Linked DNA regions of Cricetulus griseus. The protein of the gene in region 6 interacts with the protein of the main gene of each other region in a pairwise test. Links are inferred from orthologs where the notes say so. Each region holds a gene or a part of one and is shown on either strand. Other genes may lie near its edges. The genes, in order: CUNH1orf94, Crk, Mettl27, Zhx1, Ywhaz, Atxn1 and Cfl1.

The links.
Region 1: the proteins of Atxn1 (region 6) and CUNH1orf94 interact in binary tests that used the Homo sapiens proteins (3 or more experiments, as listed by UniProt). The link is inferred for Cricetulus griseus from reciprocal best matches to the Homo sapiens genes ATXN1 and C1orf94.
Region 2: the proteins of Atxn1 (region 6) and Crk interact in binary tests that used the Homo sapiens proteins (3 or more experiments, as listed by UniProt). The link is inferred for Cricetulus griseus from reciprocal best matches to the Homo sapiens genes ATXN1 and CRK.
Region 3: the proteins of Atxn1 (region 6) and Mettl27 interact in binary tests that used the Homo sapiens proteins (3 or more experiments, as listed by UniProt). The link is inferred for Cricetulus griseus from reciprocal best matches to the Homo sapiens genes ATXN1 and METTL27.
Region 4: the proteins of Atxn1 (region 6) and Zhx1 interact in binary tests that used the Homo sapiens proteins (3 or more experiments, as listed by UniProt). The link is inferred for Cricetulus griseus from reciprocal best matches to the Homo sapiens genes ATXN1 and ZHX1.
Region 5: the proteins of Atxn1 (region 6) and Ywhaz interact in binary tests that used the Homo sapiens proteins (3 or more experiments, as listed by UniProt). The link is inferred for Cricetulus griseus from reciprocal best matches to the Homo sapiens genes ATXN1 and YWHAZ.
Region 7: the proteins of Atxn1 (region 6) and Cfl1 interact in binary tests that used the Homo sapiens proteins (3 or more experiments, as listed by UniProt). The link is inferred for Cricetulus griseus from reciprocal best matches to the Homo sapiens genes ATXN1 and CFL1.

What each region holds. Positions count from the first base shown.
Region 1 is NC_048595.1:25,030,167-25,034,310, forward strand, and holds the start of CUNH1orf94 (uncharacterized protein C1orf94 homolog), read left to right. Parts: upstream 1-1,332; coding exon 1,333-1,646; intron 1,647-4,144.
Region 2 is NC_048600.1:89,144,085-89,148,307, forward strand, and holds the start of Crk (adapter molecule crk), read left to right. Parts: upstream 1-1,423; 5' UTR 1,424-1,569; coding exon 1,570-1,810; intron 1,811-4,223. UniProt on the Homo sapiens protein: Involved in cell branching and adhesion mediated by BCAR1-CRK-RAPGEF1 signaling and activation of RAP1.
Region 3 is NC_048597.1:114,000,265-114,004,480, reverse strand, and holds the start of Mettl27 (methyltransferase-like protein 27), read right to left. Parts: upstream 2,815-4,216; coding exon 2,692-2,814; intron 2,038-2,691; coding exon 1,909-2,037; intron 1,394-1,908; coding exon 1,258-1,393; intron 1-1,257.
Region 4 is NC_048603.1:29,563,171-29,567,464, forward strand, and holds the start of Zhx1 (zinc fingers and homeoboxes protein 1), read left to right. Parts: upstream 1-1,484; 5' UTR 1,485-1,803; intron 1,804-4,294. UniProt on the Homo sapiens protein: Acts as a transcriptional repressor. Increases DNMT3B-mediated repressive transcriptional activity when DNMT3B is tethered to DNA. May link molecule between DNMT3B and other co-repressor proteins.
Region 5 is NC_048603.1:14,723,476-14,727,721, forward strand, and holds the start of Ywhaz (14-3-3 protein zeta/delta), read left to right. Parts: upstream 1-1,432; 5' UTR 1,433-1,572; intron 1,573-4,073; 5' UTR 4,074-4,084; coding exon 4,085-4,246.
Region 6 is NC_048596.1:265,665,686-265,669,792, reverse strand, and holds the start of Atxn1 (ataxin-1), read left to right. Parts: upstream 1-1,305; 5' UTR 1,306-1,527; intron 1,528-2,607; exon of another isoform or gene 2,608-2,766; intron 2,767-4,107. UniProt on the Homo sapiens protein: Chromatin-binding factor that repress Notch signaling in the absence of Notch intracellular domain by acting as a CBF1 corepressor. Binds to the HEY promoter and might assist, along with NCOR2, RBPJ-mediated repression. Binds RNA in vitro.
Region 7 is NC_048596.1:53,848,261-53,852,408, reverse strand, and holds the start of Cfl1 (cofilin-1), read left to right. Parts: upstream 1-1,341; 5' UTR 1,342-1,494; coding exon 1,495-1,497; intron 1,498-3,323; coding exon 3,324-3,631; intron 3,632-3,835; coding exon 3,836-3,912; intron 3,913-4,075; coding exon 4,076-4,148.

The DNA.
Region 1 (4,144 bases), on a different chromosome or scaffold from region 6:
TCTTGTTTGTTTGTTTTCTATCTCTCGAGTCCCTGTCCCAGCGCTGGGGTCGCTTAGGAGCCCAGGGCACTAGATCAGGTCTAGAGTCCTGAGTTTTTGAATTTCAGCCTTCCTTCTTGAACTCTGGACAAACACAACTTTTTAGGACTTGGAGACTCATGTATGCCGAATAAGAAGTAGTACTAAACTCTTGACCTGGAATAGGATAAGATTTGAGCTCAGCCCTTGGCATTCGGTGCTCCCTTGGAATGGCAGTTAGGATTAATGCCAGAGGACAAAAGGGCAGGTCGCCCACCCCTCAGAGGCTCTTAAGTATGTCTGTAGTGGTGGGGGTGGAGACAGTGTTTCATTTTGACTTACTTCAAAGGGGAAGCTCTCTGGGGTCTTCCCGGCTGCACCCCGCCCCCACTCCACCAGCGGACCTTGGATACGAACGCCTGGCCCGTGTCCCCGCGCACCCAGCCGCCGAGCCGTTGCGCTTGAACCCACAGAAAGAATCCCAGCTCTCGACGGCAGGGGAGTGGGAGATACTCGGCACGCAAATCTGCTGACCCCCGCCCCGGCCCACCCTGCCCAATCGGCGCCCTTTTAAGGGTTGGGACCCTCTGCGGTGCTGGGTCTCAGTTCTGCGCGGAGGCGCTACAGGTGTCCGCTGGGGACCTAGGCCAGGCTGACTGCCAGCACAACACCGCATAGGAGATTTCTTTCTAGGGAGGCAGAACAGCAGTAGCAGCAGCAGAGAGAGAGGGACAGAAGGGGGCAGCCGGGAGAGCTAAAGCCAGGAACTGCGGTGGGCGAGGGCCGTTAGCCCTTGGCGTGCACCGGATCTCTGGGAAGGTGGGAGGAGACAGTCCCATGGCCTGCCCCCACCCAGTCTAGTACAGTGCCCAGCCCTTACTCAGCCCTCCTGGCGGCTTGACAGGCGAGAATGGGCTGAGTCACAGGCCCTGAAAGGTGTCACAGGGGTGTCGCAACGGGGGTGTGCCGGGTTCTGTGGGGAGAGCCAGTCCTCCCCTCCAGTCGTTCCCAGATGTCATTCTGCCCGCCCAGGCGCTTGGTTCCTGAGTTCCGGGGCATTCCACGGTTACTAAGTTACTGGTTTTTGTTGACTTTTAAATATTTTCTTCTACGGGAGAGGGGGAGGGGGGCAAAAGTCAGGAAAGAGCAAATAAAAGCAAGTCAACATAAGCCCCCCTTCCCCAAAAGAAAGTTGCCCCCTACTCCTCATCCCCACCCAAACAAAACGCCTCTGAAACCCATCCCTTGGCTGGAGCATCAGCCAGCTAGAACTGACTACTTCCCAGGCCCAGTCTTTAGCTCCCTTTCTGGTGAATGAGGGCTGGTGGTGGACAGTCCCTTTGTCTCCCAGCCCTGGGTGGACAAAGGGGCTTCCGGAAAGAGAGAAAGAGGATGGCCAGTGGAAATGGGCTCCCTCCATCCTCGGCCATGGTGGCCAAGCGTCCCTCCGCCCTGGGGCCATTCCCCAGATACGTGTGGATCCACCAGGACACACCCCAGGATAGCCTAGATAAGATTTGCCATGACATCTGGAAGAGAGTTCAGGGCTTGCCGGAGTCCCTGCAACCCAGGACCTCGCTGGAGAAACTCTCGGCGCCGATGACCGCGACTGTCAGCTTCCAAGAAGAGTGAGTAGTGCCCTGTTTGGTTGATTATCAAGGAATGGAGGGAGGGGAAATGAAGTCTGACTTAGGGTTGAACTCTCTCTGGCCAGTGTTAAACTCTATAAACATTTTCTTCATCCCTTAGTATGGGTAGTTTGGAGGAGGGAGCTGGCCACGGTGCTGAAATTCCAGGAGCAAGGGAAGAAACCATTCCTGATGGCTTCTTTCCAGATACTAAGGAGACATTGTCATTCTAAAGGCATAGACAACTAAGATGAAAATCTGGGGTCCTGGCAAGAGTATTCTCACCAAGCCTAGGGGTAATATCACTGTCCCCAGAGGCAACTAGGTGATCTTTCCCCTCTCCCAAGAAAAGTTCAGGCATTGGCACAGATGAGTCTGATGGCTGGAAACCACATCTGGAATCCCCTAATACAGAGAGCAGCTGTCCCATTCAGCATCCACAGAGCTACTGCAAGAGCGCACATCAAAATATTTACTGGGAAGGCATTGACATATTCAGAGGACATAATAGAAAATTAAAGTGCGGGAAGATGACTGTAAATAGCCGGTTTCCCGGATGGGAAATCCCATGTCTGGGAAACACAGAGCTAAGTGTTTCTGCACTAGGAAAAAGTTGAAGAGATATTGTTGGGGCTGGATATTGGAAATGAGAGGAAGGAGCAGAGAGGAAGAAGGGATCTCATTAGGAGAAGGAGTGCATTCGTTTTGGTGATTAATGTCACTGCTGAGTACTCTTTCAAGGCTCTGCACCTTCAAAGTGGGCTGCAAGCGTTAATTAATCCTCCCAGCATCCCTATGAAACAGGTATTAGTGTCCCCATTTTACAGATGGATTAAGTGTTAATAATTAAGTGCCAATTAAAGCCTAAGTGATAATTAAGTGTTGTCTGCCCCCAACACATGCTCCAACTCAGTTCAGAGATGGGGGAACCATTCAGGCATTTATCAGCTGCCTCAGGTTTCAGGGCTCTCTAAGCAATAGCTGAGAGGGAAAGAAAAGTATAGCAGATGCTCAGGTCTGCACTTCCTGCAATCCCTTTGCAAGCTCCTTTGCTTGATGCAGATGAAGGTAGAAGGCATGCTGGCTGCTTCTGCCTCCTCTGCCCTATGCTCAGCAGGACCCGGCTCAGATGGAAATGGCCTTTCTATAGCCAGAATCCTGTGGCTAGTCTTTTCAGTGGCACCGAGCTCCTCTGTCTTGTTCATTGCCATCTGCTCTGGGACAGTGCCTTGGCATGGGAAACCTTGGGGGCTGTACTCAGCTCTCTCAATGGCCAAGGAGCTGATTGTCCACTTTCTGGATCATAGGTCAGTAGCAATTTCCAGTAGATAGCCCCTTCTCTGCCAGGTCACACTGAATTCATGGAGACAGACTCTACTTCCAGTCCACACTTGGCCAGAAATTGAACTAGCCTACCTTTGGCCAGTTGATTCATTCTGTTTGGCCCTGATTTCCTCATCTGCAAATTGAGGATGATGTGCCCTGCCTTGTCAACTCAGAGTCGATAATGAGGGTCAAATGTGATGGGAAACAAAGAAATGAAAGATGCATTATAGAAACAAGACCGCCTTAATATGTAATGCACCGAGTTTTGGGGTGGGAGGGTTACTGCTGTTGGCTTTCTTCTGGAGTTTTCATGTGGTCTCCAAGTCCCAAGGGTGCTTCACACAGCCACCCTAGAGTCAAGTGGGTTGTCTGCTGGGTCCCACACATACTTTAGTCAGAGCTGTTCAGGCTTTTGTTGGTTTTACTACTGGAGTTCTGAGTATGGTTGCATTTGAAAGAGTTTGGTGACTGAGAAGAGACCCAGGAAACCACCTACTTGGAGGAATAAACCACATCATAGTTGTAGCTATCCACCTGGTAGAACACAATGAGAACTTCATGAAATGAAAGCCAGTGCTTCTGGAGTCAGACAACCAGGTTCAGCCCCGCGCTGGATGCAGAACTGTGACTGTATGGTGGATCTTAACTTTGGTCATCTGCCAAATGGAGGTGACAGTAGGGGTTGCTGGAGGTGGCAAATCTGAATCGTTCAATGGTCCTGCTAGTAATTAGGATTCATAAATTCCTTCTAAGAACAGCAGTTATAATTTCTGTAAATCTTGAAATTTTTGCAGGCAAGAGGTAGTACCTTTTCAAATTCCCCATTCTTTTTTCACTATACAAATTTGCAAACCCCCAAAATAAAGGTAGCGAGAGCCTATAGATCTAAATTTTTAATTTTTTTTTAATTTTTTATTTTCTGTGCACTCATGTTTTGCCTGCATATATATCTGTGGGAACCCCATGTTCTGAGTGATGAAGGGTAAACTTTAAAACTAGAGGGCACACCACTGTTTCTTATGTGTTCAGATACACACCTGCTGGGTTTTCCCCTGCCTAATGTGTAGAGTTTTGATGGGGGAGGTCCTTCTGTGCATATGTTTGTCTTATTGGCTGATAAATAAAGTACTGTTGGCCAACAGGGAAGCAAGATAGGTTGGACTAGGAGGGTT
Region 2 (4,223 bases), on a different chromosome or scaffold from region 6:
GTCAGAACTTGGAGTTAGAGACAGTTGTTAGTTGCTATGTGCGTGCTGGTAATTGAACTCGAGTTCTCTAGAAGGACAGTCAGTGCTCCTAACTGGTAAGCCATCTCTCCAGCCCCTAAACTGGAAGTTTTAAAGATTTTCAAAGTTTTATGCAGGGTAACAACAGATTTGTATTTAGAAAACTTGTACTGATGGCTATTACAGTGTCATCCAGCAAGCCAAACTAAGGAACAGCAGCAGGCGGGCTGTGCACTGGAATCTTAGCAATAGTGGCCAGCCAGGCATGTTGGTGCATTCTTATAATCCCTGTACTGGGGAGGCTGGCGTGGAAGGATCTTGAGTCGGCCTGGGCTACATCATAAGATTTCATGTCAAGCAGGGCATTGGTGATGGCACACGCCTTTAATCCCAGCACTCGGGTGGTAGAGGCAGGTGGGTCTCTGTGTTTGAGGCCAGCCTGGTCTACAGAGTGAGTTAGAGGACAGAGAGGGATACACAGAGAAACCCTGTTTCAAAAAAACAAAAACAATTTTTTTCATTTCAAAGTAAAAAAAAATTGAGAGAGATGATCATGATCATGAAGCAAGTGAGAGTAGGAGACATCCATCACTACAACTGAGAATATAGAGGAAACTGTCTGGTTGACATAGGAGCCTCAATCCTTTCTCCTGTCTGAGCATTTTGTTTTCTTTGCATTGAGTATCCTTCCCCACTTGCCATTCAACACCCAATCATTCAAGCCACCTCATCTGTGGACCCTTGTTTGTTGTTTAGGTTTTGTAAGGTAGGGCCTCAGACTCACAGTAATCCTCCTGTCTCAGTTTCCTAAGTGTTGGTGTTACAGTCATGAGTCACATTACCAGTCCCTTGGATCCCTCTACAGACTGCCTAGTTGATCTCTTTATATTCCTGTTTTCCATCATAGCATTTGTTGTTCCTTTGTCATTAATTGTTTCCTGGTTCCTCCCACTGGTCTGTGAATTTGGTGACTTACGGCCCAGTCTGGATCACCACTGCACCTGCAGGGAAATGTAACGTCTATGATTGTTACTGAGTAACAAGAACTTCTGCTTACCTCGGGGGAAACTGAAGAAAACAGCAGAAAAATACCAGCTTGTCAGGGAGCTTTGAGGGAGGCTAACATCTTGGGACCGTTTACTACTCCACTCCTGTAGGTCCTGGGCGAAAGACCTAGGCCACCAATCTGTCAGACACACATCAGTCAGCTTGCAGACTGAAGCTCCGCCCCTTAGTCCTAGACTCCGCCTCCCCATCCTCGGTCGCCAGGGTTTGGACCTGGAGGCGACGCCCATGAAGAAGCCGCGTGCGCACTGCGGGCCCCAAGGACTCCGTTTCCCTTCTCCCAATGGCGGGCGGCGGTCCCCCTTCCCGGCAGCCTCCCTCGGGTAGAGAGCGCGTCATTTCCGGTGGGGAAGGCCCGCGGCCGCCGCCGCCATTTCGGGCGCTGCTGGGAGGCTGACACCGGAGCCGGTCCGCTGGGCGGCGGGCGCCAGGGCTGGAGGGGCGCGCGTGGCGGCGGCGGCCCAGCGTGAAGGCGCGGAGGCGGCCATGGCGGGCAACTTCGACTCGGAGGAGCGGAGTAGCTGGTACTGGGGCCGCTTGAGCCGGCAGGAGGCGGTGGCGCTATTGCAGGGCCAGCGGCACGGGGTGTTCCTGGTGCGGGACTCGAGCACCAGCCCCGGGGACTATGTGCTCAGCGTTTCGGAAAACTCGCGTGTCTCCCACTACATCATCAACAGCAGCGGCCCGCGCCCTCCAGTGCCTCCGTCGCCCGCTCAGCCTCCGCCGGGTGAGGGACAGGCGGGCGGGAGGCCCCGGGCGGGGGTGAGGGCCGTGGAACTCTGGTCCGCTTCAGGAGGAGGGACGTGGGCAGAGAGGGCAGGAGTGACCCTGGCGGGGGAGCTGCCTTCAGCCCAGGCTGGTTCCCACCGACGAGCGGGATTGTGGGGGAGGAGGAGCTGCTCACCGAGGCCTCTGGGTGTGCCTTGGGAGCCGGGGAAGGGGAACTGCTGCGGCCCCGGGGTGGGGCTGGGCGCCAGGGTCAGGCCCAAGGGCAGGGCAGGGCCAGGCAACTTGGGGACAAAGAGTTAGTGGGGATGTTGCGGGGACACAATTTGGCAGAGGTGCCCAGAATGGATCTGCTAATCCTACAAGTGGCTTTTAGGCTTGAAACGTTTCCTGCAGTGTTAGAGCCGGTTTTGGCCATACTCCCCTGGTGGCCTTCGGTAGGAAGTCACCACGTACTGGCTGGCTGGGAGGGATGGAGACACCCTCAGGAAGCCGGTCGGTTTTTTCCTTTCTTGGGCATTTTTCCAAAATCTTTTTACCGTGTTCTTCCCTTGTGGAATACGAAGGTGGTGAACTAAGTGACTTGGTAATAGAAAAAAGCCTTCTGTGACCAGCCCAGAGTAATTGAAGCCTAGCTGGCAAACTGTCCAAGAGGTTTGAAGTGTCCAAAAGACTGCCTGCTGCAACTAGAGTTTCTAGTTTCAAAGTGATTAGTGGGGGAAAGGTTTTTTTTTTTTTTTTCCTTCAGAAAATAAACCAGGTATAAGCCAGTGAGAACAACCCTGGAAGTGAATGGAGCTTCATTCTCCTTGGGTTTAAACAGTGTCAGTCATGTACTTCTGGGTCTTTTATTGCTCAGTAAGTTGGTGTTGTAGTCAAAGTCTTCCAAGATACAAGAACAGACCTGTCTGTAAAGATAACACCAAGCATTTTAGTTATCCCACGGGGTCTTGTCAAGGATCAATGAATTGTAACCGCCTTGCCCATACTGTTGGAGTTGTCTGGCAATGTTAAGGAAATACATCCACTTAGCACTTGAGGTTTTTGAGATACAGAGTGATTCTGTGATTGCCTTTGTCTGTGTATGTATGTAATGCATCAAGTTTCTTGCTTTCTGGATGTTTGAAGTGAAAGCCTTTTTCTCCTAGATCTGAGCCAGTCTCATGAATGAAGACTCCTTGGCTAACCATAGCAGACCTGCCCTTTTTAGGATAGTCCTAACTTAGATTTATTCACTTTGGCCTGAAATGAGGTGCGATAAAGATAGTTCTTTTTGTTAGCACACACAAGTTAAGGGAAGAATTTAGTATTGAGGTCCTTTTAGTTTACACATTTAGATCTTTCTAGGTCTCATTGGTTTAATATGTAAAATAAAATAAGAATATTAATGTAGCACATTTGCCCTAAAGGTATTTGTGCCATCTGCAAGGTATCTATTTTATGTTAAGTGCAGTACTAGGATGGTATGTTGTCATTGAAATTCAATTTCCAACCACATGTCATAGTTAATGCCTGTAATCCCAGCACCTGGGAGACCGAAGCAAGATGATTTTACAAGTTCCAGGCTATCCTGGAGAACTTAGTAAGACTCTGCCTCAAAATAAAAAGTTAGGATGGGGGTGGGACTGGGAATATAATTCAGTGGTAGTTTATTTGCCTAGCATTAGGGAAGCCCAGGTTTTATTTCCAATAGTAGGGTAGAAAATTTCAGTCCTCAGCTTTCTCTCTATGTGTTTTGTTATAAAACTTGGGAATAGTAGCAGGCAGGTTTGTTAGTTTGATATTTCTCCATACCTGGGCATTGTGGTTTTATATCTCAGCAGCTCCACCTTTTCAAAATAGATGGTTGGTCTAAGAGAGGAGATTGCCAGTTTGTGGGTGGGGTAGGAAAGTTCATTGGCATTGTGGCAATTTGTTCTGTCATGTACCCTATTTTCTCTTTAGGGCAGTCAGTTCACTTGCTGTTTTTTACTTTATGATGGATACTTAATCTTTGCCCCCCCCCCATTAAGCTCTTTTTGTTTTAAAGCTACATAGGGATTACTTGAGTTTTAGAGAGGCATATATAATATTAATAGCTGACACTTATTGACTGCTTATTGTATGCCAGATGCTTTGCTGAGGACTTTCTGTGCCTTACAGAAGTTACTGTCGGTAACAATATAGTGAGTGAAATATTGCAATGTGCATTTATTAAAATATTTCCAGTTTTTGGACGAAAGAACTAGAAATCCAGTAACTTGTAAGGTCACAAATTTAGTATATAACTAAACCAGAATTTGAGCTAGACAGTGTCACCTGAGAACTGACCCGGCCCCTTATTATATAGTTTTGTTATTCTTTGTTTATTTGCTTTGAAATCCCTGAAGTGCACTTAGGAAACTCCATTCTTTTGTTTTGAGACAGAGTCTTAC
Region 3 (4,216 bases), on a different chromosome or scaffold from region 6:
CAAGAGCAGAATGTACTTTTCACCTAGGAACCATCTCTCCAATTCCATCAAGTTACCCCAAGAATATAATGTAGTTTGGTCCTTTTCACCCCTACTTCTCTCATCCTCTAGCACCTGCTATTCCCCCCACCCCCCTTTTTTTTTTTGTCAAAACAGGGTTTCTCTGTGTGGCCCTGGCTATCCTGAAACTCACCATGTAGACCAGGCTGGCCCTGAACTCACAGAGATCTGCCTGCCTCTATATTGGAGAATATTATTTTAAGGTGTGTTACTTTTGTTTATATTGCATTTGTTTAACTCTGTGAAGCTGTGATTCTTTGCGTGTCTAAAACACTTGATGGTCTAATAGTGAGGCAGGAGAGAGGAAAAGGCGGGGCTGGCAGGCAGAGAGGATAATTATGAGGAGAAATCCGGGGGGGGGGGGTAAAGGCTCTGAGAATGAGAAAGGAAGGAGGAGGACTTCAGGGGCCAGCCGCCCAGTCCGACATGGAGGAAGAAGGAAAGAAAAGGCAGGCCAGAATAGAGAAAGAGAAAAGACCCAAGGCCAAAGATAGATGGGATAATTTAAGTCAAGAATAGCTGGCAAGAAACAAGCCAAACTAAGGCTGGGTATTTATAACTAAGAATAAGCCTGTGTGTATGATTTATTTGGGAGATGGGTGGGGGGGCCCTCAAAAAGTTAAAAGAATAAAACAACTAGCTACACCTCTACCTCCTGAGGGCTGGGATTAAAGGCACGCATCACCTCCACCACCCTTGCTATTTTCATGTCTTGTTTTGTTTGTGACCCATTGAGTTTAACTGGGGGTGGGCTGCCTGAGCTTGGTGTGTGTGTGTGTGTGTGTGTGTGTGTGTGTGTGTGTGTGTGTGTGTGTGTGTGTGTGGTGTGCTGGAGCATGGGCAACTTATCAGTGGCAACACCACTGAAGAAAATGACTGTTCCTTTCCCAACAACTGTGTGTAGCTCCTTAGGGACAGGTGAGACCCTATGATTAAATTGCTTTTGTCTGATATTTTGTCAGAGCAATAAGAAAAATAATTAGTAGAAGATGTTATGTATACACTGGGTATAGTAGGACCTCAGGCACCTGTAGGTCCCAGCCTTGTGTATGAGATGAGGTGACTTCAGACTCTAGATTGGAAGGGAGGGAACAGTGAGAAGGCTCACATAAGACTTCAGAGTGAAGATGGAGGCTGGACAGGAGGGGATATTTTGGTAATATGGGTGAGTGGGGAGGGGTGTGGAGTGGGAAGTACCTTCAGGGTTAGGCAGCGGCTCCTGGCCCAGGGTGCAGAGGCTGAGGTGTTGGTACAAGCCACGTGCCTGGGCCTGCTTCAGCATTTCTGGGCTTCCATCCACCCCATGCACCTGTAGAAAGCCCCGAGCTTGCAGCTGGGAGAGAAGGTGGCATTAGTCACGGCTCATCCCCTGCCACTGCTCAGCTGGGTCCTTGTACGTTGTGACCAATGAGCCAGAGATAGAGGATGGGTTCTTGGTCAAGGAGTGGCAGGGAGCTAGATGTGGTGGCTCAGGCCTGTCATCCCAGGTACTCCGGAGACTGAGGCAGAAGAATCCTAAATTCAAGGCCAGCCTGGGCAACTTAGTGAGACCCTCTCTCAAAATAAAAAGCAAACTAAAGGACTGCGGGTGTGGCTCGTTGGTAGAGGGTTTATCAATAATCCCCCAGTGAGGACTGAGGTGTGGCACCTGCCTAGACTGGGGCATGGCTTAGTGATAGAGTACAAGCTCAGAATCCCTCAGTGAGAGGCCGAGGGTATGTGTGGAGACCACCTGACTACAGTTCACTAGCCAGGGGCTGAGGGCTGCTGATTCAGAGGTAGCATGTTGGAAGCCCTGGGTGCTGAAGAGGAAGCAGAGCATCCTCATAGCATATCAGAAGGTCTTACCTCCACAGCCACCAGGCCGGTGCCACAGGCCACATCCAGGATCAGGGCATCATGGGGTGGGCCCAGAAGGGCTCCACTGAGACATTCCACAGCAAGGCAGGGGGCTCGGTACTTCAAAGCAGCCACATCCTGTGGACAGAGCACTTAGTCTAACACCCTCTAGTGCCCTAGGGTTTGGAGTACCTACCTAGGGGCCTGTTAGGGGCCTGTTGGTTTGAGCTGATGTGTTTGGTTTGGGTCCTTCTGGGACCCCAGTAATAGAAGACCCAGGCTTGAGCTGTCTTTGACTGTCAAGGGACCCCACACCAGTGGGACCACTGGCTACTGGCCATAAAGATTTTATTTATTTAGTATACAACATTCTGCTTCCATGTATATCTGCACCAGATCTCATTATAGATGGTTGTGAGCCACCATGTGGTTGCTGGGAATTGAACTCAGGTACTCTGGAAGAGCAGTCAGTGCTCTTAACCTTTGAGCCAGACCAGCTGTGGCAGCTCTTAACCAGTCTGTCTATATTGAGTGACGACTCAATAGCGCCTTCTGCAGGCAGTCTCCCTGTCTGAGTTTCAGTATTAAGGTGGGTCATTCTTGGCTCAATGGGGACGTCCAATCCAGAGTTAGAGGGGGTGCTTAGAGCTAGTAGGTGGGCAGATCGCTAAGGAGCAGGTTTGGAAGGTTCTTTCCCAGGTCTCTTTTCAGCTCCTAGCTTCCCTGGAATGAACGGGTACTATTCTTGCTTTGCATATAAAAACACAATCTGGGCCGCGTGCTTCCTTTCACCTGGTCGTACTCCGGAGCCCAGCTGTCATAGAAGCGGAGCTTGCAGGCCAGGTCGGTGATGTCGTGGGAGGCCCCGATCCGGGCCAGTACTTGGGGCAGCCTCCCAGCCTCCTCCCGAGTCATCCTCCTGTGGGGACAGAACCCACCCTGTGACGAGGTCCACCACAGTATCTCGTCCTTCCTCACCTGGCGGAGGAGGTTACCAGAGCTCCAACTCCTTCCCACGTCACATACAAGATCCTGAGTGGGAGATGGCGGGACTGTTTGTAGGGGAGGGGTGGGTAGAGGGGTAATCCCGCTCAGGGAATGAGGGCTGCGCCCCAGCCCGTCACCCCCGGGCGTGGATCGGGGGGTTCTTCCTCACCGCAAAGCCTCCAAAGAGCAGAACATTCAGAACGCAAAGCTCGGTTCCCTCTTTCCGGGCTAGACGGGCGGTGGGACAGAGAGCCTGGCCCCGCCTCCACAATCAGATGATTGGGTTTCCGTAAGAGAAAACAGACAATCAAAAGAAAGATCCGAAATCCGCCCCTACTACGAGCCAATGAGCGTAAGGCTCTAGTCTTCCTTGCTTGGGAAGTTCTCAAACTCTCCCAGCTGGGTTTGTTTTGGTTTTGTTTTTTCACAAATAAATAAACAAATACATTTTTTTTTTTTTTAGAGACAAGGCTTCTCAATGTAGCCCTGGATGACTTGGAATTACTTATGTAGACAAGGCTGACTTGGAACTCACAGAGTTCCTCCTGCCTCTGCCTCCCAGGTTCTAGGAATAAAGCCCTGTGCCACGGCTCCCGGCTACAGTATTTTTTTTTTAATAAATTATTAATTTTTGGGTGATTGTGTGTGGTGGTCAGAGAACAACTTTTTGGAGTCTCATCTCCCCTTCCAGTTCCTGGGATGGGACTCAAATTCTCAGCTGGCCTGCAAGTGCCTTCACTTGCTGAGCCATCTCACAGTCCCGGTTTTTAATTTTTTTATGATTTCAAGTAGCTCAAGTTAGTTTAAACTTTCTATGTAGGCAAGGACAGAAATGTACTTCTCAACCTCCTGCCTCTGCCTCCCAAGTGCTGAGATTTCATTGTTCTCATGGAACTTTCCAGAAGCACCTAAAACATCCTGTGTAGGACAGGGATGTCTCTCAGAGAAGAGTGCTTGCCTAGCATGGATACACTCATAGGTTCTGTCACTGAGGCGACCAAAGGATAATAATGACTATCCTAGCTGTGGTGATCAGTGCATGTGACCGTTCTTGGACCACTCCCCGGATCTCAGTCCATCCCATTGTAAGACCCCCGGGAGCTCAGGCCCCCAGGATCTCAGCCCAGGACTGCAGCCACTCTAATCACCAGGCAGATTCGAAAGCTTGATGCAAACTGCACGAGACTTTATTATAGTTATTTAATGAGCTAACCCCATGTTAGCTCGGGCCTTTCATCCATCCACCATGGAGGATGGCTAGGAAAAGACACTGCGAAGCCACTGTATAGAGATCTTATAGGGCAGCGTAAGGGAGTGTCTAGGGGTATGC
Region 4 (4,294 bases), on a different chromosome or scaffold from region 6:
GCTCTGTAGATCAGGCTGGTCTCGGACTCACAGAGATCCCCCTGCCTCAGCCTCCCGAGTGCTGGGATTAAAGGCGTGCGCCACCACTGCCCCCGCAATTTACTGGTTTCTTAAACCATTTGCATGAGCAGTTTACATTCTGAATTTAGTTCCAAGAAGCCAAAGCGCTGTCAAATTTTGTTTGTTTGTTTTAAGAACCGGGTGAGAGCAGCACAGGGTTGAGCACCTCTGCTGGTGAGATCACCGAGCCTCGGGGTGCACGAGCTTTAGAATCTGGGATACAATTAAAGTATTGTGCACGTCGACTTCAGCAGCCGGGCCTCCCCTTCAAGCAATTGCAGGCTGCAGATTTTAGCAGTGGGTAGTGCGGCTTGGTGGAGGAACCCTGCTACCAAAGCACAGAGGGTCTCTGATTGGGATGGGGGTGCGTCCGGGGCCGTGAGCACCCTCGGGGTGAGTGCTTGCTTCTCGCCTTCGTTTGCACCATCCTTTTAACCGTGGGAGGGGAGAGGCGGTGGGGAAGGCGCTGAGGACCTCAGCTGGGGCCCACGAGAGCTCAGCGTCCCTGCGTGGCTCGCAGGGGGACGCTCAACTTTTCCCCATCCGTCCATCCGGAGAGAGCTGGAGCCGCGGCGGCCGCTGCCCGGCTGGGCTCGGCTGGGCTCGGCTCGGCTCGGGCCGGCTCGGGCCGGGAGGGGCGGAGCCGCCGCTGGCAGGCGCGCGGGACTGTTGACAGCCGGAGGGGGCGTGGCTGGAGCCGGGAGGGCCGCCGGAGGCGGGGCTGAGAGGGGAGGGACGGGAGGTGGGCGTGGCGTGGATGTGGGGGCGGGACCTTGGAGTCACGGTCCAGGGAGGGGGGCGGGGCCTTCGAGTCCCGGGGTCCAGGGAGGCGGGGCCTCCGTGGAAGAAGAAAGTGACTAGAGGCCGCCGGAGGCGGGGCTGAGAGGGGAGGACGGGAGGTGGGCGTGGCGTGGCTGGGGGGCGGGACCTCGGAGTCAGGGTCCAGGGAGGGCGGGGCCTCCGTGGAAGAAGAAAGTGACTAGAGGTCGCGGTGGGAGGCGGGAGGCGGGGCTGAGAAGGAAGGGACGGTGATGTGGGCGTGGCGTGGCGGTGGGAGCGGGGCCTCGGAGTCACGGTCCAGAGAGGGGGCGGGGCCTCGGAGTCAGGGTCCAGGGAGGGCGGGGCCTCCGTGGAAGAAGAACGTGACTAGAGGTCGCGGTGGGAGGCGGGAGCCGGCTCCGCGCCGCGGCGGCGGTGGGCGGAGCAATGGGCCTGAGAGGGGCGGGGCCTCGCGCCGCCGGAAGGCGGGGCTTCCCTGACGGGGCGGGCTTGGGCGGACAGAGGCGTGGCTCCTCCTGACAGGGGGCGGGGCTCCGCTGACAGGGGCGGGGCGGGCGGGGCGGCGCGCGCCTCCCGCAGCGCGGGGACCCTGGGGGGGAGCGGCCTGGGTCTCGTCCCGGCGGAGCGGAGCGGAGCGCGGCGCGGCGGAGCGGAGGAGTCCTCGCGTGGGGCGCCGGCTCGCCCCGCCTCGCCTGGCTCCTCCTCGCGGCCCCGGAAGGCTCGGGGGTGGGGGGTGGGGGGACGAGGGCGTCCCCTCGCACCCTGGCTCCGCGTGTCGCTGCTGCCGGGCCGCGGGGCTCCGTGGGCCCCCCGCGTGAGGGCCGTCCGAGTGGTTCCGGGGTTAGGGTTCACGGGTCAGAGTTGACTCCCTGAAAAGTGCAGTCGCTCTCAAATGCAAGATGGCGGCGGCGGCGGCGGCGGTGGCGGCGGCGGCGAGGCGCTGAGGCGCGGCGGCCCCTGCAGGTAGCTGCGGCGAGCGGGCGAGCGGCGGGCGAGCGGCGCGAGCCGAGCTCCCCGGAGCTCGTGGCGGAGGGGACAGCCCCGGGGCAGACGTCCCCCCGCACCTCACCCCTCCCCCTCCCCTCCCCTCCCCTCCCCTCCATCCCCTCCCCTCCGCTCCCCCGGGACCCAGCCCACGGCGTCCGTGCGAGCCGCGTGGGACCCGGAGGCACCCGGCGGGCCTGCCCCGCGCACTCGCGCCTCCCGGGAGCTGTCGGGGATGGCAGGGCGAGCGCGGGGCGCGGGAGAGCGCTGAGTGAGTTGGGGCGCTGAGGGACGGTGGCAGCCCGTGCCCGGGGAGGACCCCCCTGACTGCGCCTGGGGACCTGAGGGAGGCGGCGAGCGCTGGCCGCCCCGGGCGTGGGGCCACCTGGCGGGGACGCAGAAGAGTCCGCGAGGGTCTCCGCGTGGGCTGGAGCCCCGGGGAGCCTCGGCCGGCAGGGGGGACGCGGAGTTGCACCCCTGAGTGAGGAAGACCAGGGTTGTCAGGGAGAAGTTAATGGAAGAGGGGGGGACACACTGTCTTCTGTGGAGCCATGGCTGGGGAGAGAGCGTGCTGGCCCTGGGGAGTCTCCATGCCTGGGTGTCAGGGAGAAGTTAATAAAAGAGGGGGGACACACTGCTGAGGAGACAGCGTGCTGGCCCAGGGGAGTCTCCATGCCTGGGTGTCGGGGAGAAGTTAATAAAAGAGGGGGGGACACACTGTCTCTCCGTGGAGCCATGGCTGGGGAGAGAGCGTGCTGGCCCAGGGGGGTCTCCATGCCTGGGTGTCAGGGAGAAGTTAATGGAAGAGGGGGACACACTGTCTCTCTGTGGAGCCATGGCTGGGGAGAGAGCGTGCTGGCCCAGGGGAGTCTCCATGCCTGGGTGTCAGGGAGAAGTTAATAAAAGAGAGGGGGACACACTGCCTTCTGTGGAGCCATGGCTGGGGAGAGAGCGTGCTGGCCCAGGGGAGTCTCCATGCCTGGGTGTCGGGGAGAAGTTAATGGAAGAGGGGGACACACTGTCTCTCTGTGGAGCCATGGCTGGGGAGAGAGCGTGCTGGCCCAGGGGAGTCTCTATGCCTGGGGCTCAAAGGGAACGACCTGCTGATTCCTTGACTCGGGTGAATGGCTACAAAGAGGGAATGAAAGAATTGGGGTCTGACAGGCAGGAAAGCCCAGCCCTGACACCGAAGTTGCAAGAGAAGGGACTTGGGATTCTTTGTCCAAGGGGACCAGCAAGGAACGAGCACGACCGACGAAAGGGACTCTGTTTGCTGTCCTTAGTGCAGGGGGACCAAGCCCCTGGGGAAACTGAATGGCTAGAGTAGAATGCCAAGGCACTTTTCTGCCGCCAGCCCTTGTTTAAGAGACAAAACCCAAACCACACCGTGAAGGGACACTGTATAGGAGAAACTTGTAAGAAAGGCTGGCTGAGAATTTGTGACATGACTAGGTGGGAGTCTGTGTAACTGGCAGAAGCAGTGCTCTCAGAGGTTAACAGGATAGCAATTGAAAATCCATAAGAACCCCTCCCTCTACCCCCAGGAGGAGTGAGGGGTGTGTGTGTGTGTGTGTGTGTGTTTGTGTGTTTGTGTGTGTGTGTGTGTGTGTGTGTGTGTGTGTGTGTGTGTTGCAGAGTGATATAAGTGCACCTTTTTGTTTGAGGTGTTGGTCACTGTATCTCTGTCTCTGTCTGAAAGAAAGCTGTGATTTGTGTGCAGTAGTAACTAATGCCCTGAAAAAGTCAGTATTTTAAACTAAACTGAAAGTTTGTTCCAATAGAGCTATTGGCACATAGATTATTTCAGTTTCTAAAGAAGCGATTCTGACTCCAGATTTAGTGAGGAAAGGTTAAGTGCTGCCAATAACACAAGTTTGGTAACAGGGCATATAAGGAAAAAGACGTGGTGTGTGTGTGTGTGTGTGTGTGTGTGTGTGTGTGTGTGTATGTGTTACAGTATTTCATTTATCAGTGATTTTTTTGTACAGTTACCTTTGATATTTGACTGCTTAGATTAAAATGAGGGGGGAAAAAAACCACGCTAGTGACTTGGGTAACTTAGACAGTTATAATTCATACAGATGTCCCGAGCTGTGCTTGTATTCTTAACAGAGCTTACTGTTTTCGTTGGAAATGTTTTGAGGATACAGGTCAAGTATAACTAGCTGTATAACTTGGAACACTTGTCTAAGTATGTGCTGTTCCTTGGTTTCCCCACAATGCACACGGCTCTGGTGTTCTACCCAGTTCTGAACAGATTAGTCTGGCAAAGCAGAGAGGCGCAGATGCCAGATGGTTTGAAAATATGCTAAGGCCGAAAACACAAATGTGTCTGCGCGGAAGATGCTCATCGGTGGTTTCGCTCCCTCACCGCCAAGCTTGCTTTACACTGGGCTGGACGGTAGGACGTGCAGGACGCCACCCTGGTCCCACCTTTCACCAGTCTTCTCTGTGCTGAAAAGCAGCAGAG
Region 5 (4,246 bases), on a different chromosome or scaffold from region 6:
CTTTACAGGAGATTTAACCTAGTACCTTCTGTCAAATTGCGAGCGCCTACTACAAAGCTGGAAACCTGGAATCTTTTGAAGTGTTAGTCACCTACGAAGTGAGTCACTCCCTGCAAGAGTCTCCATGAGAGCCTGCATCGGTTTGCTCATCTATCTGTTTTAGCGGTGCTGTGGATCTGTGGATGTGCAGACTCGGGGTGGGTGGGTCAGGGGAAAGCGATCACAGGCAACTCTCGAGCTACCTATCTGCCATTTCAGGGAAATGATCATTTGTAGAGCAAGCTTATGACCAGACCATGTATCCGACAGACAGACACTGAGTTGGGGGAAGAACAGCTTGTCGTGGAATCTTCTGGAGAGCTATGGGCTGAATACTTTTTCCCCCCTTTTCTTTTTTCCAGCCAGCAGGAGCTGGGTAAAGGCGTTTGCTTCAACTCAGGACGCACGTTTAAAGGACGCAAGGGCACACGCTTCACGCTGAGAATGCTTCTCCCTCCGCTTCCGTCTGCTGGGTGGAGACCTTGCGGGTGCAGGCACCTGCAATTTCCGCCCTCTTCCTACCCCCTCTTCCGGGCCCAGGCGCTCCCGCCCCTGCTCGGGCGAGCGGCCCCCCTCCCACTGTCAGATGGGGGGCCCCGAGAGCGAGCAGCCAGTATCCCCAAGGTGGCTCCCAGGACCTAAAAGGCTCTTTGAGAGCGTTAAGTGGAGACAACGAGCCTCCCCGTCAAAGCCCGGCTGTGTGTGTGTGTGGGGGGGGGGGGGCAACAGTGCAGCGCCCGGAGATCGGCTCGCTGTGTGAGCCTGTGTCCCCCCAGCTCGCACAAGCCCTTCCCCTCTCCTCCCGGAGACCCCCCATTGTCTCCCTGGCTGTCACGGTCTGTGCGGGGCGACAGGAGGGACAGCGGGCGGCTCGCCCGAGCCTTAAAAGGTCTAAGGCCGCTTTACTGCAGCGGTGGGCGAGCGGGCGAGCTAGCAAGCGGCCACGCCCGCTGCCGCCCCGCAACCGGGGCTCTGATCACAATGCCCCGGCCGCAGAGCCCGCCGTCATTACCGGGGCGGCCGGGAGGGGGAGGGGCGGGTGGGGGGGGGGGAAGACGCGAAAGGTCCCGGATGTGCCCGCCAGTAGAGGTGTAGGGGGGAGGGAGCGGCTTCCTTCCGCGGGCCGCAGGGGCGGCGCGGGAGGGAGGAGGGAAGGAGGAAGGAGGGCGGCTCGCGGGGGCGGCGGGGGCGAGCCGAGCGCGCGGGAGGAGGAGGAGGAGGAGGCAGGGTCGGGGACGCGCTCTCCCTGAGCTCGCCTCGGGCGGGCAAGCGAGCGGGTGGGCGGGGCGGGCGCGCGCCGGGGGAGCGGCGGTTGCGCCGGGCACCAATCAACGGTTGCCATAGCAGCGTTTGACGTCATTGTGCGTGTGGTGCCCCTGCTGCCGGGGCTAGTGATTGGAGGAAACCCCGTGTCTGCGGAGCCGCTGTAGCCTGTGAGCAGCCAGATCAGGGACAGAGTCTCAGCCTCGCCGCCGCCGCCGCCCAGGGACACTGCCGACCGGGTCCGTGTGCCGCCACCCACTCCGGACACAGGTGAGCAGCCTCCCGGGCTGGCCCCTCCGCCGCTCGCCCGCCCCGCCGCGGCGGGCGTCCCCAAGGATCCTGGACCCGGGCGGCGGCTCGTCCCGCCGAGCCCCGGGCGAGCGCCCACGGCCGCCCCCGGGCCGCTTGCTGCTGGCCCTGCCGGGGTGCTGGTCGCCCCGTCCGCCCGTGTCCCGTGTCCCCGGGGGTGGGGGTGGCGGAGGAGGCGCCCACGCGCGAGACCCTCCCGGGTTTGGGGGGGGTAGGGCTGAAGCTCGGGCGAGCGGGCGAGCGCCATCCGCCCCCGCCGGCACCCGCTTCCGCCGCGGCTGGGACCGGGGCCGTGGCGCAGGTGAGGCGGCCCCCACCCCGCCGTGGCGCCCCCGCCGCCCCTCCCCCGCCGCGCGGGCAGCCAGGTAGCGCGCGCGCGAGAGAGAGCGAGTCTCCGGGGTGGGGCCGGCTCGCCCTCCCGCTTGCCCTCCCGCCGGGGACCCGGGGCTGAGCTTCCTGGGTCCCTCTCGGTGGCTCACTCGCTCGCACGCTCGCACACTCGGTGGGTGGGTGGGTGGTTGGGGGAGGGGCTCGGCCTGGGCGCCCCGGGGACGCAGGGGGGTCTCCGGCCGGGTGGGAGGTGAGCATCCTTCGGGGAGAGCGGGGGCTGCGCCGGTCTGGGTGGGGCCCGGCCCCTCCCATCCCCCTCCTCCTCCTCCGCAGCTGTCGGGGGCGGGAGGGGGGACCCCGGGAGGGAGAGAGCGGGGTGTGTCCGGTGCGGGTCGGCCGCCGTCGGTTCCGCTCGTGCGGGCGCCGCTGGCTGGCATCGGGGGGCCCCCTCCGGGTAGGGCGAGCCGCTCGCCGCCGCCTCCTCCCCCCCACCTCCACCACCCCACCCCACCCGACCCGACCGCTCCTCCCTCTCGGCTCGGCGGTGCTCGGGTTGGGTTGGGCTCCTTGACACAGTTCCGCCATGACAAAGAGAGAGAGAGGGCGAGCGAGCGAGCCGGGGACCGGCGGAGGCGCCAGCCTGGGCGGAGCCAAGAAGGGGAGGTGGCTGCGGGCGGCGCGGACGCGAGCGAGGACTGGCGCTGGCTTTAAAAAGTCTGGGGCGCGGTTTCGGCTCGCCCCCGCTCGCCCGCCCGCCCGCCCCGGGCAGGCGAGGGTTAAGTGGGTGCGGCGAGGGCTCCCGCAGTGTAGATGCTGGTTCTTCGTGTGCTTCCCGCGGGGAACCGGGCGGCTGAGGTCGGCGGGGGTGGGGCCGCCGGGGCCGCGCTGACATCACTTCCCAGGGCCGTTTCTGGTGTGAGGTTTCCAGACCGCAAAGGGTTAACTCGGCCTAGCCAGGCCCCGGCGCTTGTTTCAGTTGAGGATGCTTCTCATTGATTTAACGCCCCCTCCCTCCCCACACCACACCACCCCTCCCCACCCCCCAAAAAAGCGATTTCTGGAAAGGTTAAAGGAAAGGGTGCGATGGTGGCCTTGGGTGGTGGCGGTGCATTGGGCAGTGACTGTCATGGAAATTCATTTCCTGGGATCCCTGTGGTTGAGAACCGTGCTCTTGACCCCGTTCAAGGAAAGAAAAAAAAAAAAAGTTGATCAGAAATAAATTGGGATCTAGGGAACTTGAACTGCAAAGGAGATTGGCGGAGAAGACGTTAGGGCCGACTTAATAAATGGTGACTTGGAGAAAAGCCATGCAGGGGGAGTCTGCACCTAAACTGCAGTGTGACATCGCAGGGGGCGCCTGCGCTTGGGTTGGCCCTGAGTGCTCGCTCCCTGCTGCGCAAAGTGTGCATGTAACTCCATGTAGATGGGTCTGTCTGGTCTCGGGGCGAGTGATCCCTAGTGGTTTTATATTCAGGGTATCCTAAGCATCAGTCAGTCAGTTTCCTCAGATAGTTTTCATCCAGGAAGTGTAGCAGATCGGGCTGGAGAAAGTGCTAGGTAAAAGGTAATCCACTCGGGGTCAGAGTGCACACACTGAAGGTTAGCTGGCCTGACTCACGGTTCTGCGAGTGGAGTGCTCTTCATGGACCTTCTAGGTCCGGATCTGGAGTGTTCTCCCCAACGCACTCACGCACACACACACTCACACACACTCACACTCACACTCACACTCACACTTACCCTCTCACTGTAGGGAAAGGTGGTGAAGTGTAGGTCACTCTGCATTGGGATTAAGTTGAGCTTTTTAAGAAAACAAGTGTGTTGGAATACACAGCAAGGGACAGCAGGCTGAGCGATGACAGGTCTGTGTCACAGCTTGAAGGTGGCTTTTGATGATAGAGTAGCACATATATGCTCTGATCTTACCTGAAATTGGGGGTCTCCTAAACAGGTGGGGGGGCGTCTGCCATTTGCTAAGCCACTGTTAATATGCTCGGTATGTACGTTTTCTGGTTGATGGGAGGGGCTGTATTTTAACTTGCCGTGGTTTAAGATACTAGTATACCTTGTTACAGGTACAAGGAGCTATTCTAATAGGAATTTTCTGAATATCCCTTTTCTTCCCTTTGCAGAATATCCAGTTATGGATAAAAATGAGCTGGTGCAGAAGGCCAAACTGGCCGAGCAGGCTGAGCGCTACGATGACATGGCAGCCTGCATGAAATCTGTAACCGAGCAAGGAGCTGAGTTATCTAATGAGGAGAGGAATCTCCTCTCTGTTGCTTACAAAAATGTTGTAGGAGCC
Region 6 (4,107 bases):
TCATAAGTAAACGGAGCCAAAAGGTCTCTCAAATCCCGCTTACAGTCAATAATAGTGGCTTCCTACAAGACCGAGGGATCGGGTTTCTAGACTCTTAGTTCTAAGCACCTGAAAGAGGTCAGATGCTGGCCTGACACCTACTGGTTTTCGAGAATTATCTGCAGCAAAGGGAACTCGGCACTGAGCGACCCTTGTAGGGTTGTGCCCGCTCTTTCTCCGGGTGCCACACCTGTTGGCAAGGTACACTCCTCCGGGGAAGATTCCTTCCCACCGAGCTCACACCTGGCAGTGCTGTAGCGGAGGGGGTGGGTGGGGGGACTCTATGTCTGCGTTCAGCCACCAGGACCAGGGAAAGTTCCTTTGCCGTGGATTCCCGAGAACCGCCATCGAATGGTCGGGGCACCGGTTACCTCACTTCCGATGAAATGAGTGATTCCCTGTTAGCTGAGAAAGGAGTGAGCAGGTCGGCTCCCAGAGCTAGAACTGAGACGTCTGATTCCTACTGCAGATTTCTAGACCTGCAGAATTAGATAGGAGGGTCGGGAGGCTGCCAGCTTGTCCGGGCAGGAAAGGTGAGGGCGCCAGTGCAAACTGAGGAAGCCTGAGAACTTTCCCGAGTTGCAAGCCAAGGCGCGGGCCCAGAGTCGGGTTGCTCAGGGCTCACCGGCTGGAGGGTTAACAGCGAGGATACAGTGAGTCCTCTTAGACACACACCGGGGTGGCGGGGTGGGGGCACCAAGGTCACTTCGGGATTAGAGTCAGCCGACTTCCCCGCATCCTTGCTTATTTTACCAGGTGGGAACCGAAGCCTGACACCCGCTGCGGTGAGTCCTCCAGGCTGCGAGCGTTGCACCCTACACTCGCCCTGTCCCCTCCAACTAGGTTGCAAGGAGACGGGGAGGCGCGCGAGCTCCGACGGGTCACCACTCCAATGACCTCATCGCCCCAACTTCCCCTCCCCTTTCTCAAACCTGGAAGGCACAGTCCCCACGGGCCGATGTCCGGGATCCGGAGCCGCAGTTAGGGAGAGGCACCGGGCCTCCCCTGGAGGGAGGGACCGCTGCTCCGGCCGGGTGCACAGAAGGGTTAAGGGCGCGGGCCGGCAGCCGCGCCGTGCGCTCGCCGTGCTCTGTGCGGCTCGCCGGGCCGCCTGCCAGAGGGTGCCCCCCCCCCCCCATGAAGTCGGATCCTTGAGCTGTGGCGGCGGCAGCCAACTGCTCCATATTTGGCTTCTATTACACATTTACATACTGGAGCGAGCGAGCGAGCGCGAGAGAGAGCGCGAGGGAGGGAGGGCGGGCGGAGGGAGGAGGGAGGGGAGGGGGGAGGAGGAGGAGGAGAGAGCAGAGTATACCGCAGACATCATTTCTACTACAGTGGCGGAGCCGTACAGGACCTGTTTCACTGCAGGGGGATCCAAAACAAGCCCTGTGGAGCCGCAGCTAGAGCTACAGCAGCCGCAGGACACTGTGTCTCTCCCTCTGTCCCCCCTTCCCCACGCAACCCCAGATCCATTTACACTTTACAGTAAGTGGCTATTTTTTTTCCTCCTCTGATTCTTTCTCTCCCCCTCCCCCTTCCTCCTCTCCCCCCCCCTCGATTTAGATTAAAATCACCCCCTCCCTCACCCCAATCCTCTCTCTCCGGAGAGGGGCCAAAGAACATCCAGCGTACAATCTCCCCTCCCCCAGTCTCAATGGGCTACAAGGAAAACAGCTGGAAGAGGAGCGAAGGAAACCGACGCGTCGTGGTGTGTGTGCGTGTGTGTGTGTGTGTGAGTGTGTGTGTGTGTGTGTGTGCGTGTGCGCGCGCGCGTGTGTGTGAGTGTGTGTACATATACCCCTGCCGGGCTCCAGCCTCCCGGCTCGGGACCCCACTCTGGGCGCTGGAGCAGCGGGCCCGGGGAGCAGCCAGGGGTGGGCCGCCCCCAGGAGAGGGGGCGCGCCCGGGCAAGGGGCGCGGGTGGGGAGAGCGGCGGCGCCCCGCTCAGGCTGCTGCTGGCCCGGCGGCGGCGAGAGCCGAGAGCCTGGTCCTCCTCCCTCCTGGTGGCGCAGGGGGAGGCGGCAGCGGCTGAGGGTCGCGCTGCCCTCTTCGCTTTTGCAAATTCTCCCTCCCGGGAGGGGGCGGTGAGCGCCGCGGGGACTCGAGGGAGGGCTGGGCTTCCCCGCCCGGGGTCGCCTAGCTTGTGCGAGGCGACCCCAAGACTGGGGTCTCCCCGCCCAGGCCAGCCTCTGGGGACCGGGGACTTTGCGCACGGCCTGGGGGAGAGGAGAGGTGGCGGCGCAGGGGGCAGGGGCGCGCAGGCTATCGGAGCGCAGCGGGAGTGGCGGCGGGGACGGGCCCTGGCTGCAGCCGCCGCCACCGCCGCCCTGTTGGTGCGGCCGCTTCCTGATCCAAAGCAGCCGCCGCCGCCGCCGCCGCTGCCGGAGCCGGAGCCCGAGCTTCCCAGCCCGGCCCGGCCCGGCGTCCCAGCCGGCGCCCGAGGCAGCAGCCGAGGAGGGGCTCTGCCCTGCTCCGGGACTGCTCGGCTGCGCGGCGGCAGGGAGGGTGAATGAAGATGGGAGGAGGGGAAGGAGGAGGCGGCGGAGGAGGAGGCGCTGCGGGGATTGGGATGCGCCCCGGAGCCCCGCGGCTCGTTCACTCCGAGCCCGAGACGCCGCCTCTGCCGTGGCTGCCGCGGCCGCCGCGCCTCCTACGTGGTTGCAACGGAGCGCGCAGGCCGGTCCCGCAGGGGGCAGGGAAGGGGCCGGACGGGCGGAGCGAGAGGTGAGGCGGGGTCGGAGAGGAGGGAGTGAGAGCCTGTGAGTGTGTAGGTGTGTATGTGTGCGTGTGTTCTCGCGCCGAGTGGGGACCAGAGCCTCCGAGATGGGGAGGGGTCCCGCGGTGGTCCTTTGGCTGACTCTGCAGCGCCTCGACTTCTCCTTAGCCACCTCCTTCAACTCTGGGGCTTGTGCGCTTTCATTTTATTTCAGACCACGTAGAGCTGACTGGAAGCGGTGAAACAATTCAGGTTTTCTAGGGAGATTGAGCAAGGACCTTAGTGGTGGGGGGTGGAAGTAGGATGGTGATCTAGACTCTGCCAGAAAAAAAAAAAAAAAATCAGGGTTTTAAGACGGTGGAGTTCAGTTCGATCCCGTGGCTGTCCTGTTTTGTTTTGCTTTCTTTCTGCATAATCCTACAGATAAGAGGGTAATATAAATACTTGGGAAGGTTGGGAAATTGCTGAAGAGTAGTAAGGGCGAAAAAAAAAAAAAGCCAGTCGGAAGCTGGTTATATAATGCTCTATGTGGCTAACAAGAAAGGCAAGCTATTTTTATTTTGTTTACCGTATGTTGTGCAGTAGGAACTCCTCCAAACTGGTTCTGTCCCCGAAGAGATTTCTTAGCTTCTCAGAGAGAGCCACAGGATACAATTAGTAAAATTAGAAGACCCCACACCACCTACAGAATAAAAAGTAGTGCCTTACAGTAGAGTTCTCACCCTTGCATGCAGAGGACTGTGTGTGTGCAATATGTTTCCCTGTGGCAATCTAGTCTCATCTCAGTGACATTTCTGTTTTATAATGCAAGCTCCCCTTAATATTTAAACATCATTGCTATAGGTCGTACACAACAAGGTAGTTACATGCTGGTTATTTTTAGGCACAGCTGGTTACTTTTCAGTAGTGTTTGCAAGCTATTTCTATTTGGTTTTCTGAAAAGCCCTGCAGTTCCTAGAAGCCCTAAGTTAAGCCCACCCTCTGGTTTCTTGATGGTGGGTAGGTAGCTAAGACAGTTTGACAGCCGAGAGTTTATTTTTATTTTATTTTTGAATGAAGTTTATGCTAGTGGAAGCTAGAGGTAGCCACCAAAAGAAAAACATGTGCACGAACTCTTGGGAAGGGATTGCACCATAACAGTTTAGCTGTGGCATTTAATCTCCTCTGATTGTCCTCTAACTGGCCATGCATCAGTCAATATTTTAGCAGCTTTGCAAATAAATGGGCTTGAATGCTCCCTTCCATAGGAGGCTGAAAAGCCTCCTGCCTGTCTGCCTCTCTCATCATACAGATACTGTCAGTGGTGTTAGTTTTCTGTACACTTACTCCGGCCCTGATCACTCATGTAA
Region 7 (4,148 bases), about 210 Mb from region 6:
AATAAAGCACAGGAGGGGGTCTCTTCAGGGATTGGAACAGCCCACGATCTCCAGCTGTCATGCCGGAAGTCGTTGTCCACCTCACTGGCCGACCCTCTTTTCAATCTAGCCTTCCGCACCCTCCTCCTTCCTCGGGCAGCCTTATAAGGAGCCAGAAGCTGGCGCTCGGGCTGGGCACGCCCCCTGGAGTCTCATTCCCTAATAAGGACATCTAGGGCATCTCGTGGCCGGGGGCGGAAGGAGCGCGTCTCCAGGGTAACTGTAGCCCCTCCCCACGTTGCTCTGGGAAACCGCGAGGCTCGAAAAAGGTGGAGCTAGTCTTTTCTTTAAGAGGGGCACGGGGTGGGGGTGGGGGGGTGTCAGGCTTCGCCTGCACCGGGAGCTCCGCCGCTCAAACCATGAGTGCAGCCGGCTTGACTCTGACTACAACCCCCGGCATGCTCTGCGAGTTGCCTCACTCTCGACGGGGTTGTTCTTCATACACACCCTTTATTCGGCTTATGGGGCGGGTCAAGGGCCCCAGTTTCCTTCGCCTGTAACTTGCTTGCGACTTTGCCCTCTTTTCCTGCCGATTGTGAAGCTATGATCATTGTTCGAGGTCAAAGAAATGTTCGAGTCCCCACCCCAGTTTATTTTAAGCTCTTGCTCTCAGAGAGATTGTCTGGTTCTTTTTGTTGTTGTTGTTGTTAAAATAACCATAAACCTATCAACTCGAGAGCTAAATTCAAGTAAATATTCCTTTTCTTATCGCCTGGTAAAGGAAATATATGTCTCTAATACATAACTCTTCACCCTTCCCACATGAATTATATTTGACCCAAGAAGTTGCCAAATGTCTTTAAACAAACCGAAGCTCTCAAACTTTCTATTGTAACGTTTTCCGTTTGTTAAAATCCTATTTTTTGTTGCAATTTCATACGACCTCTTGGGAGACAACAGTGACTTTCCACATGGAGGGACACTTCACGGAAGCTTGTCTACTGGCTTGGAGACACCGTTATAATTGCGATCCTCCTTTCTTTGGAAGCGGATCCCAAGCCAGTGATTCAGAAAATTAAAACATTGATCAATAGGAGCCATACATAACGGGAATCCACTTCACTTTGGGATTAAGAGAGACTCAGGACAGAATTATTTTCAGGTCATCTTATCAAGCCATGGGCCTCTTGCTCATCTAAGAGCGTTTCCTGATCCCTTGCACCAATGGGCTCACTCTCCGTGCAATAGCCCCGCCTCTCTGCCTCCACCTACTCCCCCGCGCCTCAGGCTCTGCAGAACCCAGGAGCAGCTTAGCTCCACATCGGTGCAAAATCTTTGGACTTCATTTCCCGTCGGCCCGCGCGGCGAGCGCCGGAAGCCCGCCCCGCCCCTCATTGTGCGGCTCCTACTAAACGGAAGGGGCCGGGAGAGGCCGCGTTCAGTCGGATCCCGGCAGCAGCTGCGGCGGCTCAGCTCTTCTGTCGCTCTCCCTGTCTCCCTTTCGCTTCCGGAAACATGGTGAGCACTAGGCCACTGTGCCCGAGGGAGGCGGTTTCGTGACCAGTCGCTAGCGCGCCGGGTGGGGTGGGGGCGGCAGAGAAGCGTTCTCAGTATCCCCTCCCCCAGCGCCCCGAGCGAGATTAAGGGTCTTGCATTGAAGGGCAGGCCGCGCGTGCGCGCCCGTGGGCGCTGGGAAGGGCCGATTTGGACGTCGCTAGCGCGCCCCCTGGCTCCTTTCCCCTCCCCCATTCCGCTTTTGCGCCCGCGCGGTCACTGGCCGTGGGGGAGGGGTCCAGTGTGCCGAGCCTAGGGCAACGCTCGCCGGTTCTCGATGGCGCGCGCTGGACCAGAGCACGCGGCATCCAAACCCTGCCCCGGGGCCGCTAGGGAAAAGCGCGCGCGAGGTGCCGGCGCGCGCCCCACCCAAGGGCTGTTCCTTTCCTCGCATCATCCTCCCTCTGCGGATGGGTTTGTCTCCACAGCAGGTGGCAGGGATGCCACCAGGGAGGGGCGGGGGCAACTTGGCTGGCGGGGGGGGGGGTACGAGCGCATCGGAGACCTGGTTGAGGCACTGGCTCCGGAGACTAGGACCTTGCACTGGTCGTGGTGTTGTGGGTCCTATACGGGCTTTAGCCCCCATTCTAGAAAGAGCGATAACACACTGCCTTTTCTGTTCACTGTACTTCAGGATATGGCTGGAACGGCACTGTGCACCAGCGCGTGCGCACATGCTTGGGCCCTGCCATCCCGGCCGCAGCTCTGGACGAGCTAGGCCTTTGGCTCTGCCGGATGGGGCCGAGGGTGGAGCCGCGTTTAGGGAAGTGACCCAGGCGGGTACCGCCCGGAAGCCACCCAACTCTTATGTTAAGCCCGAGGGCCTGGAAAACTGATGCTTGTGTGACTGGCCCGTGCTACCTCTCAAAGCTGACGGGGCTCACGGCTATTCCTAAAGGCGATTCTTAGGCTTTCAGACCTCGTACATCCCGCCGCCTCTGGGATACGACTGTCTCTTGGGAAGGCCCTGAGCCTAACCCAACCTCCTTTCCCCGCCTACTCCGGAAGAGGGCTAATCACGTGGCTAGCTTCCTCTGCAGTTCCATGGTTGGGGGGTTGGTTACAGATTTCTGTTTGGGTCGGCCCCCAGGGCCATGCAAAGTAAAAAATTTTTGACGATTTGAGGCACTACAGTTTGACGTATTTGTCAGTGATCTTTAGGACACCACTCTTAGGGAGTTGTCCGGCAGGGCCCTAATTAGGGGTTGTAATTTTTTTGTTTGGGAGATCTCAGCAGGTGAGAGTGTCGTTTATGCAATGAAGGCTCTGGCAAACTTAATGAACTGTTGAGCATCTGTTGGGTCTTTGCGAAGTTCTGGTCCCCTCTTGCCCGAAGATGAGTCTGGCCCAGGTGCTCAGTTTTCCTTCAAAGTCAGCATTTTAGTTTAGCGGCTGAGTGGTGTCAACCCAATCAGTAACTTTCAGATTCTTTGAATTTGGCGTTAAGTCAGCAAAGGCTTTTTGTTTTGTTTGTTTGTTTGTTTGTTTTTCTTTTTTTTAAGAGACAGACTTTCTCTGTCACCCTGACTGCCCAGGAACTCCGAGAAAGGCATGTTCTACCACTCCTGGCTATGTTTTCCTTTTAACAAGCGCTGTTTCTAACCTTTCATGGGGGTGTTGAGCTAGATAATTGGTACTCTCCCTTGTAGGGGTTTGACCCACCTAATCCTTAGATGATGGATTGTATTGGGGATCGTATGTCTGCAGGGACATTACTATTTTTGCGGGGCTCAGAGCTATACCTTTTGGTATCCTGACTGAGGTTTCCTGTTATTTGGTTTGCCCCTCAGGCCTCTGGTGTGGCTGTCTCTGATGGTGTCATCAAAGTGTTCAATGATATGAAGGTGCGCAAGTCTTCAACGCCAGAAGAAGTGAAGAAGCGCAAGAAGGCAGTGCTCTTCTGCCTGAGTGAGGACAAGAAGAACATCATCCTGGAGGAGGGCAAGGAGATCCTGGTGGGAGACGTGGGGCAGACTGTGGACGACCCCTACACCACTTTTGTCAAGATGCTGCCCGACAAGGACTGCCGCTATGCTCTCTACGACGCAACCTATGAGACCAAGGAGAGCAAGAAGGAGGACCTGGTGTTCATCTTCTGGTGAGCTCCTCATTGAAGCTCTCTGCCACATGTTCTCTTTCTCAGGAGAGCTTAACCGAAATCATCCTAGGTTTGGGGGTCAGGGTTGTAACAAAACTAATGAGGAACATGTCAGGGAGCCCATGTTGAGCATCCTAAACAAGTTTCTTTTCTGGAGACACCTATTTGGGGATAGCTGCCGCAGTTTCCTTGCTTTGTCTTCAGGGCCCCTGAGAGTGCACCCCTTAAGAGCAAAATGATCTATGCCAGCTCCAAGGATGCCATCAAGAAGAAGCTGACAGGTAAGGATGGGTCTCCTTTTCATGTGCCCTTCTGTGTGAGTCGAGACTGCCATGTGGGTTGATGACAATAATGGGTCCTCCATTCTCCTGATCAGATGGCTGCTTCCCAGACACAAAGCTCCCCATCCCAGTGCTCCCTGCTCACCATTCTCTTTCTCTGTAGGAATCAAGCACGAATTACAAGCAAACTGCTACGAGGAGGTCAAGGACCGCTGCACCCTGGCAGAAAAACTAGG